Linked DNA regions of Drosophila melanogaster. The protein of the gene in region 3 purifies or fractionates together with the protein of the main gene of each other region. This does not show direct contact. Each region holds a gene or a part of one and is shown on either strand. Other genes may lie near its edges.

The links.
Region 1: the proteins of Nnf1a (region 3) and Spc105R purify together in Drosophila melanogaster (affinity purification with mass spectrometry; 2 studies listed by BioGRID, with this or other methods). This does not show direct contact.
Region 2: the proteins of Nnf1a (region 3) and Nuf2 purify together in Drosophila melanogaster (affinity purification with mass spectrometry; 2 studies listed by BioGRID). This does not show direct contact.
Region 4: the proteins of Nnf1a (region 3) and Spc25 purify together in Drosophila melanogaster (affinity purification with mass spectrometry; 2 studies listed by BioGRID). This does not show direct contact.

What each region holds. Positions count from the first base shown.
Region 1 is NT_037436.4:20,798,630-20,806,432, reverse strand, and holds the start of Spc105R (Spc105-related), read right to left. Parts: upstream 6,024-7,803; 5' UTR 5,955-6,023; coding exon 5,928-5,954; exon of another isoform or gene 5,891-5,927; coding exon of another isoform or gene 5,867-5,890; coding exon 5,763-5,866; intron 5,711-5,762; coding exon 4,965-5,710; intron 4,889-4,964; coding exon 574-4,888; intron 512-573; coding exon 59-511; intron 1-58. Other genes in the region: tzn (tenzing norgay), read right to left, coding at 6,443-7,290, 7,445-7,643.
Region 2 is NT_033779.5:7,063,925-7,067,741, forward strand, and holds Nuf2 (Nuf2), read right to left. Parts: upstream 1,914-3,817; 5' UTR 1,842-1,913; coding exon 1,541-1,841; intron 1,481-1,540; coding exon 1,108-1,480; intron 1,051-1,107; coding exon 537-1,050; 3' UTR 507-536; downstream 1-506. Other genes in the region: Sem1 (suppressor of exocyst mutations 1), read left to right, coding at 162-273, 329-456.
Region 3 is NT_033778.4:20,585,707-20,589,257, forward strand, and holds Nnf1a (Nnf1a), read right to left. Parts: upstream 1,533-3,551; 5' UTR 1,468-1,532; coding exon 1,367-1,467; intron 1,311-1,366; coding exon 1,098-1,310; intron 1,024-1,097; coding exon 909-1,023; intron 704-908; coding exon 548-703; 3' UTR 516-547; downstream 1-515.
Region 4 is NT_033777.3:12,959,983-12,963,749, reverse strand, and holds Spc25 (Spc25), read right to left. Parts: upstream 2,006-3,767; 5' UTR 1,915-2,005; coding exon 1,788-1,914; intron 1,725-1,787; coding exon 1,508-1,724; intron 1,034-1,507; coding exon 709-1,033; 3' UTR 501-708; downstream 1-500. Other genes in the region: grsm (granny smith), read left to right, coding at 3,433-3,767. UniProt on the Drosophila melanogaster protein: Acts as a component of the essential kinetochore-associated Ndc80 complex, which is required for chromosome segregation and spindle checkpoint activity during meiosis and mitosis.

The DNA.
Region 1 (7,803 bases), on a different chromosome or scaffold from region 3:
TAAAAAGGGATCACTTAAATTAGTAATGTATTGAGATACACCTTGGAGAAGCTTATACCTTGTTAGCCTCGCTCTCTTCTGCGCTAGAAGATCTAAAACTTTGTGTAACTTTTGCTTGACTTCTGCAATTCTGCGATCAATGCCGTTGAGAAATTTCAAGAAAGCCGTCTCATCACTGCCCTCGATCTCGTCGCTAGGATTCATCGGCAGGCGGAGACTTAGGTGGAAGTTTAAAAAGTGTTCACGCGATGACCATTGGTCCTTGGGAGTGGGCACGTCATTGTCTAGTTGAATGGAACACACGCTAATGGTGGACTCCTCTACTAAGTCTTCGATTTGGTAGTTCACCACGATTCGGATCGTGGTCAGCTGTCGGTTGTAAAATATCATTTGCTGGGACACTTTACGCTGGTAGTCGAAGATCCAGTTGGGCTGCTGTTCGGTTAGCAAACGTTTGAGTCTCGTAAAGAAGGATTCCGGGGGCATGGCTATGTCCTTCTCTTCTGTTCTTCTGTTGTAGAAATAGTAAATGTTAAAAAATGATTCAAAATTCCAAGTGTATTCGGTACTCACAGCTTGCACATTTCAAGAAGCGCCGCTTTGTTCCACTTGGTGGCCTCCTCCTCCACCCTGGTCTGCTCCATTGAATCGTCGGAGTCTTGGTTCCTGGACAGACGAGCCTCCTCCTCGATCTCCCAGTAAGTGTTCACTTCCTTCCACGACGGCCTCTGCCTTATATTGCGCAACCGTTGCTGTAGCCTTGAAAAGTCCCACAATTTCCGAGGTGGCAGGACAAATGACTCGCTACTTAGCCTTGTTTCGCTCAAAGTATGATTGCAATTCCTGCACTTTTTGCAGGAGCCTTCGCTGCCAGCTTTTACCATTGAATTCAGTTGAGCCTCGCAGATTTCAGGTTGTAAGAGATGCTGTTTTTGCTTCTGCTCTTCTTCCTCCTCCTTCTCGTCGCCATCATCGTCTGTTTCCTCCGCCAGCGTGGAAACCAGACTTAGGTGCTCGTTATCTATCTGGTGGGGCTGGTCCTTCCCCTCACCACCCAAATCTTCTGCGGCTGCAAAGATGGTTGTGTTCCCGGTCAGATTGATGAATTTTGAGATTGTTGCTGCGTAGCTCTTGAAGGTTCTATCGTTGGAGCTGCCGCTCTCTCTTTCGCTAGACTGGCGCTGCTGCTCCTTTTGCTCATGGAAGTAATTATTAACATCGGAGATAGTGATGGGTTTCTCCTCTAGATCCATGTTATAGGTCGATTTTCGTGGCAGCTCCAGCATATTAAGACCACCCTGTTTGTTCATCTCAGTCACTACAGGATTGTAGTCCCTTACTGGCTGCACCGACGCGTCCAACTGGTCTACCGTGTAGGTCCTGCGTGATTTACTTGTCCCTGTGTGCATCTGAATACTTTTTGTCCCCCAAGAACCTTCCTGATCCTCCTCCAATTCGATGTCCATGTTGCTATTCGGAAACAGATGCGTGTTTCGTTTCTTGGACTCCGGAAGGTTGGGCGTGAGATGCGTGGGTAGGCGCTTTAGTTGGACGAGATTTTTTGGAGTTCCAAAGCCGGAGGCATTCGCCTCAAGGTCTATCGGCACTGGTTGGTACATGGACAATTTTTTCCGATGGGAAGTCAGGAGAACTCTTTTGTGAATCGGGGTCTTGCACATCTCTTCCTGATCCACAAATTCAGTCAAGGACATTCCCGGCGTGATTGCATTAAAGTCCGGACCCCTCGGCCTAAACTGCGGGCTTTGAAAGTCCATTGATTCGGACATAGCAATGGATTGCTGAGTCTTGGCACTGGGAGGAGTGCCTATCTCTTCGTTTTCTACGGAATTTTTAGATGAATGAATGGGTCCTTCTGGTTTTTCTAGCTTTTCGGAAATTTGGTGCTTGGTCCTTATGGGGTAGTTATGTCCGAATATCCCCTCATCCTCTTCCATGGGTTCCGATAAAAGTAGCGTATGTCTTCTGGATGACGGAACATCAGGAACCTGGCTTCTTTGGGGTAAAGTCTCTTCCACGGATTGTGAAATTTCTGGTCTGTTGGAATCCAAATCCTCGATGATAGGCTCCGCCGAAACCTTCGAGCCCATTGATTTATTTTTAGAAATTCGAGTGTGTTGCGCGGGTACATCTTCTTCTATGGACTCAGTCAGCAGCGTAGTTCTGCCCTTCACCGCAGGTTCGGATTCTCTTTGCTGTTGGCCCGGAATATGATCCTCCTCAATGGGTACCGGTATATGCACGGATTGTCTTGTTTTGGCAGCCATATATCCACCGGACTGTGGAACATTTAAAGAGTCACAGATCCCATTTTGTTTGGTCATATTGTGGTTATTAACATCTTCTTCAATGGGCTCTGCCATGATAAGGGTCTTTCTGTACCTGGACCTCAGAGGCCCCACTGATGAGTTTTCATTTACGGGTTCTAAATCCTCCTGAATAGTTTCATGCGAGATGAGGGTATTCCGCGGCTTCTGGTGGAGATAGTTTAGGGGTTCCTTGGGAGGAGTTTGAACCGATTCGGAAAATTGCTGTTTAGCTATTTGATCAGTAATTGAAAATAGGGCATTTTCAATGGGCTCGGCGAATGACTGAATAATTCTGGCGGTCAAAGATGACTCCTTTGAATTTTCCAGCGGCTTACGAACACTCAAATCCTCTTCAATGGGTTCGGCAGTAATAAGCGTGTGTCGTCTAGAGGTCTTCCTAGTGATTTTATCCTTAGATATAGGAAGTGGCTTTGGCTGATCATTTGACTGATTGAAAACATCTTCCTCTATAGGCTCTGCCATCAGCAGAGTTTGACGAGATTTGGAAGTTTGAAATACCGCTTCTTCAGAAGATTCTTTAGTAAATTGACCTATTTTTTCAGCGATAGACTTATTGCCCTCTTCCTCTATCGGTTCCGCCATCAAAATGGTTCGCCTCGATCTTAACGTTCTATTTGTGCTGGCATTCGTACTTTTATCTTCGTTAGTTAGTTCTTCTTCAATCGGTTCGGACATCAAAAGAGTGTGTCTTGGTCTGGAAGTTGACGAACCAGTGATGTTAGTTTGCACCCTACGTTCCGTTTCTCCAACATCTTCTTCGATGGGCTCTGCCATGATGAGCGTTTGCCTTGGCTTGAATCTTTGCTGTCTAGCTAAACTATCCTCCTTTTCAGCTGGCAAGTCCTGCTGAATATGTTCTTCTTCAATAGGTTCGGATAATAATAGCGTGTGCCTCGATTTTGATCGCTGCTGCTCGGTTGATTTATCTATTGTTTTTTGCGACACTATTGACTTATTCTTTGGCGGTGGAAGACACATTTCCTCCTCTAAAGGTTCTGACAAAAGGAGAGTTTGTCTGGATTTAGCGATCTTTCTTATGTGGTTCTCTCCAGGTTTGGCAATATTATATTTATTGTTAAATTCCGTGTCCTCCTCCATGGGTTCTTCGATCAGGAGGGTTTGCCTAGCTTTGGATCTGCTTTGCGAAGTGAAACTCTTCCCCTGGTTTAATTGACTGTATTTCTGAGGTCCAGTCTTGTTTCCCTTTAAAGCACATTCCGGTAAATCTTTCGCATTGTGAAATATTTCCTCCTCCACGGGCTCCTCGAACAAAAGAGTTTGTCTACCCTTGGATTTGTTTTCTTGATGCGCGACTACTTTTATTGGTATGTGCTTTTCCAAAATGAAATCCTCTCCCTCCACCACCAGAGGTTCCGCTAAGTGGAGAGTCTTTCTTTTGGAATTGTAACCAATGTTACTGCTCATTTCCTCTTCCATAGGTTCCTCTAATAGCAGCGTTTTCCTCGCTTTAAGTTGTTCTCTAGGGGCAACATTTTTAGTTGGTAACATATTACTTTGGTTTATGTCCACTTCCTCCAGTGGTTCTGCTAGATACAGCGTATGGTTCACTTTGGATTGCCCTGTATTCATAGGAGCCGCATTGGGCTTTAATTGTAAGTTTTTGAGAGGGCTAATGATGTCCTCCTCCATGCTTTCCTGCATCAAAAGCGTCGCCCTGCGCTTGGTTTTAGTGCAGGCCCATGTGTTGCGATTTTGGTTGCTGTTCTGCTCGTTGGTTGTGGATTTTTCGTAGATAGTCTCCTGCGTGGTAACCGATATCTCCTTCCTAACGTACGTGGATTTCGTTGTTTCATGATCCATAGATTCATTGAGATGTAAGGTGCGACGCGAGGTAGCAGTTTTCAATGCAGGAATAGCAGGGTAATTTGTCTGACTGAGCTGCATTTCTTCAGCCATAAAATCAGTTTTACGAGTCTTGGAACTCGGAATGGGTTGAAAGTCCTGACTTAACGTAGGATATTCCAAATTCAGTTCCGAGGTTTCGCAAGTTGTCTCCCTTCTTGTCGAGTTCTTCGACGTATTTCTCGACTGCGTTTCGTCGCCTAGTCTGGCGTGGGCCAAGAAGTTTGTATTGTCAAGCATCATCTCATCCGCCTGGGATAGTCGATACTTCTGCTTCTCATCCGCCGCCTTTAGTTTCTCCTTGTTCTTTCCAACTGGACTTGTTTTCGTCGGCGTCAAGGTCATGTTCTCACTGAAATTTAACATTCCTCGTGGCACTATGCTTCTTATATCTTTCTTTGGACTATTATCTCCCGCGCTCTCCTCTTCAAGGCCGCACCAAAACCGATTTTTCTTGGCCTTACGATCCGTGGTCGGCGTTTTTGGCCCGTTCGGAAATATCTGGATCTTACCCGTCTCCAGGTCTTCGTTGAGTTGACGAAAATTGAGTTTCTTGCTTATGTTTTTCCCCGAAATCATGTCGAATGGTATCAGCATCGACTCATCTCTCGTAAAGTTCATGGTGCTATTAAGGCTCTCAAAGGAGTTCGATGGCGAACGATCTCGGTTATTGGAAACTGCAAAATAATGTGACAACCGAAAACTTGCTAATTAGAAACTATTGGGAAGGGATTTAACTGAGATAATACTAACCATTTAATGAGAAGGATGCACCTCCAGCTCCCTGTTGGGTTTTATTCTTGGTCTCCCCCACGTCCATGAAAAGCGATTTCTGCGCCGGAGTTTTTGTCTGGTTTTTGGTGGACTCACGCATCTCCCTTACAATGCTGTCCTCTTCGAGCTCCATTAAACTTTGTTGAGTTGGAGGATATAGAGTTGCAACTGGAGCTGGAGCGGGAGCAGCAGGATTGGGATCAGTAAATCCCAATGGCGTGATGTCCATGAAGGAGTCACTCACAGCCTTGACAGCTGGCGTGAATACCACCTTCTCCAGTTTGTTTGTTGCCACTTTGATGGAGGATTCCTCACAAACGCTCGACGCGATTTGGTGGCGGTTGACGAGAGATCCGGATATCAGATCCATGGTCTTGTCTACCAGCTGGCGGTCGCTGAGACTGCTTTGCAACAGTTTTCGCTCCTCGGAGGTCATGCAAAAGGACACAGCAGAGATTGAGGATGTCTTCCTCGATTTGTCCATCATTTCGCAGGGCAGCAGGGTGAAATCCACGCTGGCCTGCAGATTCACGGACAGATCGACATGTTCCCGCTCGCAGTGGCTGGGCAGGGGAATGTTCTCCTTGTCGGCATGTTCGGAAACCCTCGCTACTGATGCTGATCCTGTGCTGCAGCACTTCGATCCCGAGCTGTCCTCAGCATGGTGTTCCGACACCTCGTACGAGTCGTCCCAGTTGTTGGTCTCCTTGGTGTTTACGAATTCCCTATGTGGAGGGCGGGTGAGCGTTGTACATCGCATATATCTACTGTACGTACCTCACGGACTTCTTGCCACTGAAACTGATGCGTCGCTTGATTTGTTGTTTGATCGCGGACGTTGTTGTGGTCGCCTCATCTTCCTTGGTCGGCACCTTACGCAGCTGCAAGAAGAGTAGGTCTACCATGAGCGCTTCTCAATCAATTAATTTTCGAAGAACCCACCGAACTTCTGCGTTTGTTTGCGTTCATCGCGCCGTGCTGTTAACTTGTTTTTATTTCAAAATCCCATTGGAGAGACGCCGCGATTTTTGTGTTAATGGCAGACGGTGTTGCCAGATCGTTGGCGATAGATCGCTAGAAATACCAAAAGTATTTTTGATATGCCCAAAAGGCACTAACGCCTAACCAAAACCGTTGTGATTCAAATTTTACGAAATTTGCTAAAATCTTTGGATTTAAAAAATTTGTTAAGTTCATTGCTCTATGAATAAAGTTGGAATCAACCAGTACCCTCTTCTCTAGGGTGTTGCTAGACCAAAATACCAAAAATAAATTCTTTTAAATAAAGCTGAAGAAATAAATTTATGTCATAATTTGAATAAAACAAAAAAAGTTTTAATCCGATAAATTGCGAATAATTAAAAATCCATTGTCCGCACTTCACACACATCGTTAATTTTATTAACCATTAAAATCCAATATTAAATCACAAGTTTCGAAACTTTCGAGGAAATAGATCAGGCTTTGAAGGTGTCCTTTTCCTTGCGCAGCTTGCCCATGGTGACGACGGGATCGGTGGCTCCGCCAGCGTGCTTCTGCACGGTGGCTTCGTGAACGCGCATAAAGGGGTTCCAGGACTTCTCCTCGCCAATGGTGGAGGGCACAGTGGGATCCTGGGAGGCGCGCCGGTGCTTGGCCCACTCGATCCTCTGCTGGATGACCTCGTTGTCGGGCTCGACGTGACGGGCGAAGCTCATGTTCTGCAGCGTGTACTCGTGGCCACAGAACACCTTTGTGGCGTCCGGCAAGGCGGAGAGCTTTGTGCACAGCGCCTCGTACATTTCCTCGGGAGTGCCCTCGAAGAAGCGGCCGCATCCGCCCTGGAAGAGGGTGTCGCCGGTGAAGACGGCTCCCTCGCCGCTGCCCTGCTGCGCGGTGATGTGGTAGCAGATGTGGCCGGTAGTGTGGCACGGCGTGGACAAGCACTTGACATGCAGACCACCAATGGTGAAGGTGTCGTCCTGCTGAACCTTTTTGTTCAATGCCCCGATGCGGTCATCGCCGCCATACACGTCCAGCTCCTTCTCCCACAGCTTGAGCAGCTTTTCATTGCCACCGGCGTGGTCCCAGTGATGGTGCGTGGTCAGCACCTTGCTGAGGGTCAGCTGCTGCTCCTGCACCGTCTTAATGACCAGCTCCGGCTCCACGGGATCCACCACGGCCGCCTCGCGCGTCTTCGTGTCTACAATCAGATACATATAGTTATCCTGCAGGGCCGGCAGGATCTTGATCTCCATGCCCTCCAGCTGCACGTCCTCCAATGTGCTGTGCATGCCTCTGAAGCCGACTTTTCGTAGTTTTTGCACTGAAACGAAGCGATGGTTTCACATTTAGCTACATAGATGGCCAACAGATAAACAGACTGACTAGCTACGGACGAACAAAAAGCGTAGATACTGGGAAATGAAATTGCAGCACCGGGAGAGATTAGATTAAACACGTATGTACGGATAGATTACGCTTGACGAGACTTGGACAGATGACGGGCACAGCCAGAAAACGCCGCCGAATCGCTCCGAAACCAGGGGCATCCGCTCGAGGAATCGTCCGCCAGGAACGCAGGAGCAGTGTCGGATTGCTGGACGAACCTCGGAAGTAGGTGGCCGTCAACTGGGTCTCCACGGAGGTGGCCACGCTGCGCCAGGCGGAGGCCAACATTCTGTACTTTCGGCTAGATAAACTGAAAAGCGTGTGCGATTCGAAATGAATTAATTATGGCTCCTAATTACAGTTGTTTTTTTCTCCAAATCTGCTATGCTCGGGCGAGTGTGACCGTTTGGGGGCCGGTAAGGGAAACCACTGACGGGTACACCATCTA
Region 2 (3,817 bases), on a different chromosome or scaffold from region 3:
ACGGTATTTTGAAAGTATTTTTTCCTGTTCACTTGGGTATATTTCGACGGTACAGCTGCGGTCACACAATTAAAAGTGACTGGCATCATTTAGCAACAAAAAACGCGAATAGCGTCAAAAACATTGTTTTATCGCCGTTGGAATTAATAAAAGCACACAAAATGTCTGCCCCAGATAAGGAAAAGGAGAAAGAGAAGGAGGAGACCAACAACAAGAGCGAAGACTTGGGTCTCCTGGAGGAGGACGACGAGTTCGAAGAGTTTCCCGCCGAAGGTTGGACGCAATAATGTGGTGGTACATCGGCAGTTTCTAATCACTTTCATTGTAGATTTCCGCGTTGGCGACGACGAGGAAGAGCTAAATGTGTGGGAGGACAACTGGGACGACGACAACGTGGAGGACGACTTCAGCCAGCAGTTGAAGGCCCATTTGGAGAGCAAGAAAATGGAAACGTAAACCGGCACCGACCCCTTTGTTCAGTCCTAACCATAAAAACGAGCTGAGCTGTTTTGCATTAATAGAATAAAATCAGTATATTAAGTGGAATTCATCTGCCAGTTTTGTCCGAGAACCTCATGGATTTGCTCATTTAATATGGCATATAGCTGATCTTGCTCCAAATTTTGCTGGTCTAGCTCGATCAAGTGATTATTCAGATCCTCCAGACGTTTCTTGCGATCCTCAACATCGACCTGCAGCTTTTTGAGTTCATTTTGCACCTTGTGATTCTCGGCATCGTTTTCCTGGTTTCTTTCCTCGTACCGATGTGCACAAAGAGCGAGTTCCTGCTTCTTGGCCTCTGCATCCTGAAGGAGCTTCTGATAATTAACTTTACAGGTGGGCAACTGCTTTTCCACTGCCTCCAGCTGCTTGAAGCTCTCTTTGTAATCATCCACCTTGCACAGCGAAAGCACAGCCGTGGCCTTCTCCAAAGCGGTGGCTATATGTTGACTGTTTTCGATCATCCGGCGATGTTCATTCGTCACCTGTTTTTTACTGGCCAGCTCCGTCTTGCAGCTCTCGACATGCGACGATGCGCTCTTAATTTTCCTACAATGTTTGACATTAAAATAAGCACAGAATCTAGGCTTGCCCGACAGCACTTACTCTCGCAGCTCTGTCACTTGACTGTCCTCCACCACTAGCTGTTCCCAGTGACCGATGCGTTTGTCCAGCTCACCCTGCTGCTGCTCAATGAGTTCCAGAGTGTTTTCATGCTCGCTACAGGACTTCTTCAAAGGTAGAAGCTTTGCTTGAGTATCCTGCAAATCTTTCTTGAGTTTGTTTATGGCCACTTCGCAATCCTTCGTCTTCTGGCTGCATTGCTCCAGCTGTTGACTTTTGGCCTTCACCTCGGCGGTCAGCGAATCCTTTAGCTTAATGGCCTCCTCTACAGGTCCCAGCACCTTCTTTTTGAACACCTTGTAGTAGGCCAGATGGTTGAAAAGGTAGCTCAGCGTGGCGAGCGTTTTTTTAACAGCTAATAGCCAAAGAATTGTTTAATAATAATTGCTTATTGTAAGACCGGCTGCCGGCTCACCTGGTTTAATTATGTCCATATAGGTGTACGTCTTGTTGGGAAAGCTGATCTGGACGATGCGCTCCACTTGGCGGCACACTCGGATAAGAAAGACGCGCGCCTCCCGCGACGAGTGACCGAGTTCGGTGCCAATCTTATAGGGCGGCTCCAGGCGAAAGCCGAAACTCCGCAGATAGTGCACCATGATCTTGGTGACAATGGGCTCGGTGGGATTGGCCAAGTCGCTTTGGCAGATATTGATGTCGGGCATCAGGCAGTTGCCCTGGTCCATTACCCTTTCAATTTCGACTGATAACGCCATTCAATCCAGAGTTTTAATTTTTAATGGCAGTTTTTGAATGGAACGCCGCTAAGGGATCAGATTGATGTGACCAAAGCTTGCTAGCCCCAAAAAACCACTAAAATACTAACTCAGAATTTATGTGGTTTTCACACCTATAGTCCTACAGCAGATTCTCGGGTTTTTTTATCCGGTTTTCTTTCCCGGCAGCTAGAAAATACTGCATTTGTTCAGCGCAAACTTAAAAAGTAACGGAAAATCTGGCTAAAGTTACTAAGTTACATTTTTTATTGGTGAGTGAAAACTCTGGCTTCCTCCAGCGCTGCAAAAGATGATGCTAAAAATCTGATATGCCCGTACGGGGTTTTCTCCAAAACTTGGCCAAAAAAGGTGGCACAGCGAAAATAAAGACTGTTTTGTACTGCTAATAAACATACCTAACTATCCCTATCACTAGTTTTTTGATTTTCCAAAAATAAAATTTTTACAAAATTTCGCATTTTTGATAAGGGGTACCCTCATCAAAATTTGCAAAAAATTGAAGCCTCTTGGATCTTTCAGGTTTCAACACATATGGATAGGGAATTAAGTTACGAACTCAACGAGATATGACATTCCAGTTTTGGACAACTATTCTTATTGCTATTGCAAAAAACTCGTTATTTTTGTAACCAAAAAGGAACGAAAAGAAATTTTGCCAAAAATCGTATATTTCCAATCGCTGATTTCTCCATAACTTGGCCAAAAAAGGTGGTACAGTGAAAATAAATACTGTTTTGTACTGCTAATAAACATACCTAACTATCCCTATCACTAGTTTTTTGATTTTCCAAAAATAAAATTTTTACAAAATTTCGCATTTTTGATAAGGGGTACCCTCATCAAAATTTGCAAAAAATTGAAGCCTCTTGGATCTTTCAGGTTTCAACACATATGGATAGGGAATTAAGTTACGAATTCAACGAGATATGACATTCCAGTTTTGGACAACTATTCTTATTGCTATTGCAAAAAAACTCGTTATTTTTGTAACCAAAAAGGAACGAAAAGAAATTTTGTCAAAAATCGTATATTTCCAATCGCTGATTTCTCCATAACTTGGCCAAAAAAGGTGGTACAGTGAAAATAAATACTGTTTTGTACTGCTAATAAACATACCTAACTATCCCTATCACTAGTTTTTTGATTTTCCAAAAATAAAATTTTTACAAAATTTCGCATTTTTGATAAGGGGTACCCTCATCAAAATTTGCAAAAAATTGAAGCCTCTTGGATCTTTCAGGTTTCAACACATATGGATAGGGAATTAAGTTACGAATTCAACGAGATATGACATTCCAGTTTTGGACAACTATTCTTATTGCTATTGCAAAAAAACTCGTTATTTTTGTAACCAAAAAGGAACGAAAAGAAATTTTGTCAAAAATCGTATATTTCCAATCGCTGATTTCTCCATAACTTGGCCAAAAAGGTGGCACAGCGAAAATAAAGACTGTTTTGTACTGCTAATAAACATACCTAACTATCCCTATCACTAGTTTTTTGATTTTCCAAAAATAAAATTTTTACAAAATTTCGCATTTTTGATAAGGGGTACCCTCATCAAAATTTGCAAAAAATTGAAGCCTCTTGGATCTTTCAGGTTTCAACACATATGGATAGGGAATTAAGTTACGAATTCAACGAGATATGACATTCCAGTTTTGGACAACTATTCTTATTGCTATTGCAAAAAAACTCGTTATTTTTGTAACGAAAAAGGAACGAAGAGAAATTTTGTCGAAAATCGTATATTTCCAATCGCTCATTTCTCCAAAACTTGGCCAAAAAAGGTGTCACAGCTAAACTAATGACTGCTAATAAATATAACTAACTATCCCTATCACTATTTTTATGATTTTCCTAAAACGAAATTTTAACACATTTTCGATAAGGGGTGTAAAACTGGGCGACACATTTGATACATGTAACAATGAACTGGGTGAAACATAAAGGCG
Region 3 (3,551 bases):
ATGAGTGCAGTCTCACAAGGGAAATTAAAACGAATCTTTTAAAAAACATCTTTAAATGTATATTATTAGTTACTTTTTGAGGAAGATCTAGCAAAAATTCGGTTCTTTTTTACACTAATACCATTCCTTTGATTTATACTACGCAATCAAGTATGTATGTATGGGAGTGTGTAAGCACACAGCGATTCTAAGAAATCACTCAAAAAACACATGCATACATACATAAGTTTACACATGTTTAGCTAAAAACTTCGTACTATTTATCGTATTCTTTATAGAGATAACTTGAAATGTATGTATATACATTCAATTTTAAAAGATTTTTTGTCGCCAATACAAACAATTGCTCGTTAATATTATGAGCTTATTGCAATGATACGAATTTAAATAAATTGTGAATGTCAATGACAAATGCATGTGTACATACATATGTATGTACATTAATGAATATGCAGATTAGTTTGTATGAATTTCCATTTTAAGACCCCCCACTCAAATCATTAAGCTCATAGCGTAGTATTTTATTTATTTATTGCATTTAAGTTTGTCAGAAGTCGTTCAATGCTTCGCCTAGTTTAATAAGTTCTGTCTTAACTTTCTCGTACTGCGACAATTGCTGCTCCATTTGGACAGTCAATTTCAGGCGCTTGTCATGGACATGTTGGAGTCGCTCGCGATTGGCATTGCTCTTGGCCATAGCAATCTGTAATTGAAATATAAACAAATGTTAGTTATACTGATAGAATAACAAACCTAGATATGTACATATGTATATGCAAATGATAAACTATAGAAATGAAATTATTAAACTAAAAATCTTCTCGAAGGTTCTTTAACTTTAGGGATCTTTTGGTACACTCAAAACAGTGCAGTAATAGTACAAAGATTAACTAATATCCAAATCGCACCTCAAGTTCTTTTGCCTGAGAGGCCAGTTGCTGCTCCATGAATTCCACGCTGAAGTCCAAAAATCGCATGCGCAGCGGCCGAGTGAGTTTATCGGGTGCTGCAGTGTTCACGTTCCTATAGATTACAATAGAGTAGAGTAGAGTTAGCAATGCAATCGAATCGTATTATGTTTTATGCTGCACATGTACCATTTCTTGCCCTCGTAGGCAGCGAAATGTTCCTTGAGCATTTCCAAAGTTTGCAACTTATTTGGCACATCGTTGCTGGCGAAAAAGCATCGGTTCATTTCGAGCACAACCTTGGTCATCAGACTGCGAGTGCGATCTACGATGCTTTCGGTGTCCAGAGCGGATTGCTCGTGCTCCTGGTAAATGGCATCCCACGCTTGCAGATCTGCGCAGCTAGATATTAACGATTTTTAATATTCGTTATCATGTTAACTATGCCTGCTGCTTACCTCAAGTCGGCAAAGATTTGTTTAATGGCTTCCTCGTAGGCCTGTTTCACCTTTGGTCCCACACCCTCGTGGCGTTTAAATGCGGCTTCCGAATCCTCCATTGAAATAATTTGTTAGTAAATTCAAATTGTAAACAAAACAAAACAATGCCACATTGGTGTGACCAGTTGCAAGTTTCTGCAAAACACCAGGCCGATAGAAATTATAGAGTATGGTGACAACCCTGTTATTGGTTTTTTTTTGAGGTATTTCCACTAGCTCTTATTACTCATAAGTCCCTTGTAACATAAGTGATGTTGAAAATATAAATATATTTCATTCAGCGGTATGGTGAGAATATGTGCCTTTTACATTACAATGTCAAACAAAATGAATAAATACCACCGAACAGTATTTTTAAGAATAAGTGTTAAACCACCGTTTTCAACCATCATATATCGATAGTCCAGGTATCGATGACAGGGTGATACGCCATTTTCCAATTCCTCTCTAACTTTTGTGCATTTTAACTCAGCTCTAGTGTGTTTGTGCTATACATATTTTGAATAATATTTTACCAGCCAGTGTTTAGTGGCGGACAAAATCGTGTTGAATACCAATTGAAAGTTAAGTGATTAAGTTCGGTGGCATCAAAGTCTTCGTAGCTGAAGGAAAACAAAGGCATCCCGATAGGTGAGTTTTTCTTCTACAGTTTTTTTTTATCTTTTGCCTGGGGAAACGCGAATGAAAAGCGAATTTGCGAGGCAAATAAACCAGGCTAAAAGCAATGTGTGTGTGTGTTGTGTGGTCTTGTGTTTTCCTGAATACATTTCTAAGAAAAAGATTCGCCAATACATGCCGATTTTTTATAGCAATATAGTGTGATTTTTAACTACACCCCCAAAATCGTTCTTTTGGCTTCGGCGCTTGAGTTTTACAGTTTTTCTTCCTTTCATTTTATTACAACCACCAGGGCACACAGAAATATTCCTAGCTCTCTCTCGCTCTGCCGCCCTGTTCTCTCTGCCTCTCTCGCTTGCTCGCACGCATGCCGGCTTTTACTTAAAGTACAGAGTCGCATAGTTGTTGTTTTTATAATTGGCCCATCGCTTTAGTCGCTTGTTTTGTTTTTCACATTTGCTGTTTTTTCTTTTCTTTTCGTTTCGTTGCTTCCCTTTTTCTTTTATCTCCACGCGGTTACACCGGTGCATAAATTTCATTATAATTCGCTGAGATAAAATCAAAACAAAATAGTTTCGTTGTTCCGAAAGCAAAACTCCCACGCTACAAGACGAGTTCAACGCTCGTTGGCTTTTTACAAATAAGGAAAAGGCCTAACCTATATTTTATTCATAGTTTTTAGCATCAATCGATGAGGTACGTAGAAAACGGAGAGGCAGAGGAAATGGCGAAGAGAGGCTAATGAGAGAGAAAAATACAAATGGAAGCTAACTGTTGTTGTTTCGCTTGTTGGTTGGGTGCAGCTTATTACCACCTACTTGCCTCCCCCCTCTCTTCATTGCTCCTCTTCTTTTCTCTTTGCCCCCCTCCCCCTCATTAACCCATTGGCATTTGCAGCTTTTTAACAACAGCTCTCTTCTTCTTCCGTCTGCAAATCTTCTCAGCAATTCTGCAACTTTTGCTTTTCGTTCTTTGGCGATTGTGACGAATCTCCTTTGTCTCTGTTTAGATTTCCAGTTTTGCGAAAAAATTCGCTTTTATTTGCCTTTTTTGGCCGAGGTATTTTTCGTTTGTTTCTAGCGTTTATTTCGAGTGAAGCAATTCCAAAGATATTTCGCGGCTATTTGCACGCGTTCGTTGACATTGAACTGAATTCTCACGTAAATGTGTTGAGTTCCAAATTGGTCAGCAAACAAATTGTAAATAGTATTGCTTAAAAATTTAAATATATATTATATTAACAAATCAATAGGCATGACTTGTTGAAAATCTCAGTTGTTTGCTCAATTCTTTTTACAAAATTTCTATGACACCAAATTTGACTTGTAAGATATTTCAGAGACACACCTAAATAGTTCGTTTTGTTTATTCTCTTGGTATTTGTTGCTCCATGGAACTAAAGAGTCAGTCACCTATACTATTCTACCCGCAGATTTCTGGCACTTTCAAATTAACAAGTTAACATATTAAAATCATGTTCATATTGTTTGTTAGTTTTAACACACAGTAAAAAAAAGAATAAATT
Region 4 (3,767 bases), on a different chromosome or scaffold from region 3:
AACTTTCGCCGGACAATAGCAATTGAGCAGCGCCAATCTATATGGATCGCTGTTTATTCATAGATCGGTTAGTCGGTGGCACTCTGAGTCGCTTGTGACTTTCGAGATTTCTCGATTAACACCGGCCGCCATGTCAAAAGCTCTCAGATAATCATACAAATCTTAAAGAAAGGTGTTTAATAAAACAGGTCTTGTTCTGATATAGTTATAAGGAAATTACCCAAACATTTGAAATATATATAAAACCTTATAGTAATAGAGAACTCATTAAACCAAATTTATGATATAATTATCACTAAAGTTGTAAATTTGGTTAAATATGATAAGAAGACTTTTGATTTAAAATAAATTCAATAACTGGTTTTTAATTTGAATAAGTTTGAATTGGAACTACTTAAACTGGAGCCTTTCGCGATATCTCTTCTTTGGCGATATCTCTAAAAATTTTTAAGCTTCCAGTGAAGATGATATATCAGAAAAAAGAAAAAAAAAAAAATTTTGGGAGATATATGTATAATTTACACTGCACTTAAACAATTACAAGCAGTACTTAAATGGCTAAAAAACTGCTATAATAAGATGCTTAATTCGTTAAGATGAATTCCCAATTGAGCTTTTATTGGAAGCCAACTATTTATAATGCTAAAATAAAGTGCTCCATTGGAAAAGGGTCTTCCCCCTAATCCAAGTAAATCAGTTAATCGGAAGTCAGGTGTGGCTCATCGGCGATGTGAGATCAATCTCGATTATAGACTTGCAATTGTCTGCTTCCTTGGGCGGAGTAGTGGGAGCACGTGACTCCATAGCCATGTCCATGGCCAGCGAGATAAGCTGCTGCCACTGCGCCACGTCCACATTTAGACTCTCGAGATGCTGACACAGTGAGTCCAGTCCTTCCACATCGGTCGCCTTCAGATCAAAGGGTATCAACTGGTCGCGTTTATCGCCACGGAGTACAGTGACACCCTTCACACGTGCCGGCAGCGCTTCTTGATTTATATAGGTTCTTGTTGTCTTCGACAGCGTGTGAATGCTATAAAATAAAACAAATAAACACACATTGCTCTCATTATAGTATACTAAGTTTAAAACTGACCGCATTAAAATCGGATTTGTTTGAAAAATAAGAGCGCATGTGAGGCTATGCAAATAAATTATGTATGTAAGCTAAATAAGTTATTTGGAACACGACCTCAACTATATCTATTATTTGCAGTTTATAGACTTTGATGATGCTCCTAATAGATTTAGTTAAAGTAAATAAAGTATTTGATTAGTCTCTCACTGCAACTTGTACGCATGTAAAGACCATAAATGTTGACAATACATTATTGTCATATACATATATTTGTACCAATAGTAGTTTTGGATGGACTAAAAATCAATATGAATAGTCATTTTTATGTATAATAAGGACAAGATCGAACCCATTGGAGCCCGGAAAATATTAGCTAGCCATTCGTGCTAAGAAAATCTTAATATGATTATCTTTGACCTAATCCCTGACCTTTCCATGATTTCGTTTTTGCGCTGTTTGGCCAGCATTTTCTGCTGTTTAAACCAATCTTTCATGGCCAAATTGTGAAGTTTGGTGGCCTCCAGTTCTCGATCAAGTTCCTCTATGAAGGAAACTCGCTTGTCCAACTCCTCCCGCCGCTCCATGAGCACTTTTTGCAACTTTCCCACTTTCCGCTGATGGCGCGAAGCTGCTTCCTTGACATCCACTAAAATATTTAGTGAAATATATCAATTGAAATGGAGATATATGGAGATAAATTCCAACTCACACAAATTGCTGTTGAATTTAAAGACCTTTTTGATGAATTTCGCCTCGAGGGCTTCCATGTGAATTTGTTTTTCGTACAAAGCCTTTACGCGCCTTTCGTAACTCGATTCAGTCATAATAATTGCCATTTTAAACTCAATTTACTGCAATCAATTAAAATCTTTAAAAACTAAGCGCCGTTTTCCAGACGCTTGTTTTGCTTTCCAGTTAGTGGTGGTACTTCTCATTAGGGATGACACTTCCACGACACCAGCAGGGTGGCCAGGCTGAAAGAAAAAAGTGGTTCTGCACTTATCGATAGCTGACATCGACTTATCGTCGTGCAAGTCACATCTCTATTAGCCGGCAAGCAAAAAATTGCAAGTCAAATTGGCAGCAAAATAAAATAAAAATAAAACGTCGGCACTTTTGGCAAATTTTTGTGCAATTTCTGAAGCAGGCACTTCATGCGTTTGCTGCTCTGCGTCCAGGCAATACGCAACCATCTCGCTCGCACCTACAGCAGCGCCCGCTTCAAAAAGGTGAGCGAATAAAAAGGCAGAAAATGTGCAAAAAACGCTTTGCAAACGAAGAAATCGCGAACAAAGAGTCTAAAAATAGAGAATATAGAATTTGCATAATATTTCTACATATCGAGTGTCCAGTCAAATCCAATTGAAAATGGGTAAATTAGATGTTTATCCACTTTTCGGTTTCGAATGCTGCGAGTCGGTCAACGACCCACTTGTTGTTCTTGTTGCACCGAATTCAAGGTCATGTGGCATTTGCGATTTTAAGAAACTTAAATCGCTTTATGCACAATGATATCGTGCTTATAAAACCCATGCGAGTTTATGGAGCATCGTAAAGATATGTGCTGAACGATATCTTTTCGGTAGTTTATGTTTTTATTGCCTTGCGACTGTAAAGCTGGAAAATTGATGGCTTTAAGTTGAAAATGTTAACTACTTAGTTAAGTTATTGTACCAAAATATATTAAAATTAATAATTTGTAAAAAAAAACGTTATTTGATTTTATAAGATTTTCTAATATTCGCTAAAACTCAGAAAATGTTATGTAAATTATTAGAATTCATATTGCTACTACAATTTATCTTAATTTGTTCATTATAAATGCAATACAATTTATATTTATGTATATTAGGTGATTATTATAGTTAAAATATTTTAGAGGTAATTTTTTTCTTTTGAAGCTTCATTTTATGAACCCAATGCTTTTTAGTTGTAAACATAATTATTGATTGATTGTTTTTTATTAGAATTTTAGTTATAAAATTATACTGCAGTATTTTTCACAATGGAGCTACTTTAATTGAGCCATTCTAATATGGGTCAGCTATTCTTAAACTTCCCCTACAGCGTTGCATCCGCTTGCAACCGATGAGTAACGCCCCTGTGTTTGTCCAGATGGCCCTACCCATAACCCAAATGCCACTGCTTATCTCGCCGGTTTTGGCTCTCGTGATTTATGGATGGCTGCATCCATTGACCGCCCCTGTGGTGCAAAGTCGTCGACTGATAAGCAAGTGGGGCACTTGGAGCGCTAAACACCAGATTAGCACCGATAAGATAATACCGGCGGCTTATCACTGGGATTTGGCTAGCCATTCCATTCTTTACTCATTCGCACACACATTCTCTTACAGATGGCCACGGACGTAAAGTTTAACGAGTCGCTAGGCTGCAGTGATCCGCAGACACATCCGGTCCTGATCATCGGCCAGCTGCGCCATCTAAACCTACTGAAGTTCAGTCATCTGGAGAGCAAACTCAGTCCGCGCGTCACCGAGGAGACCTTCCTGAATGCCGTCGCTTGTCTGCATCCCGCGCCCACCGATAAGGTATCCCTCTATCTCGATGTGGCCACCGTGGCTGCCCTGCCATTGAAGGCATCCCGACACAATACGGCATCCCGGGCTCATGCCATCACTCGTCTGGTAAAGAACCATGTGCTGAACGTTTCCGAGGAGAGCGTGGTGCT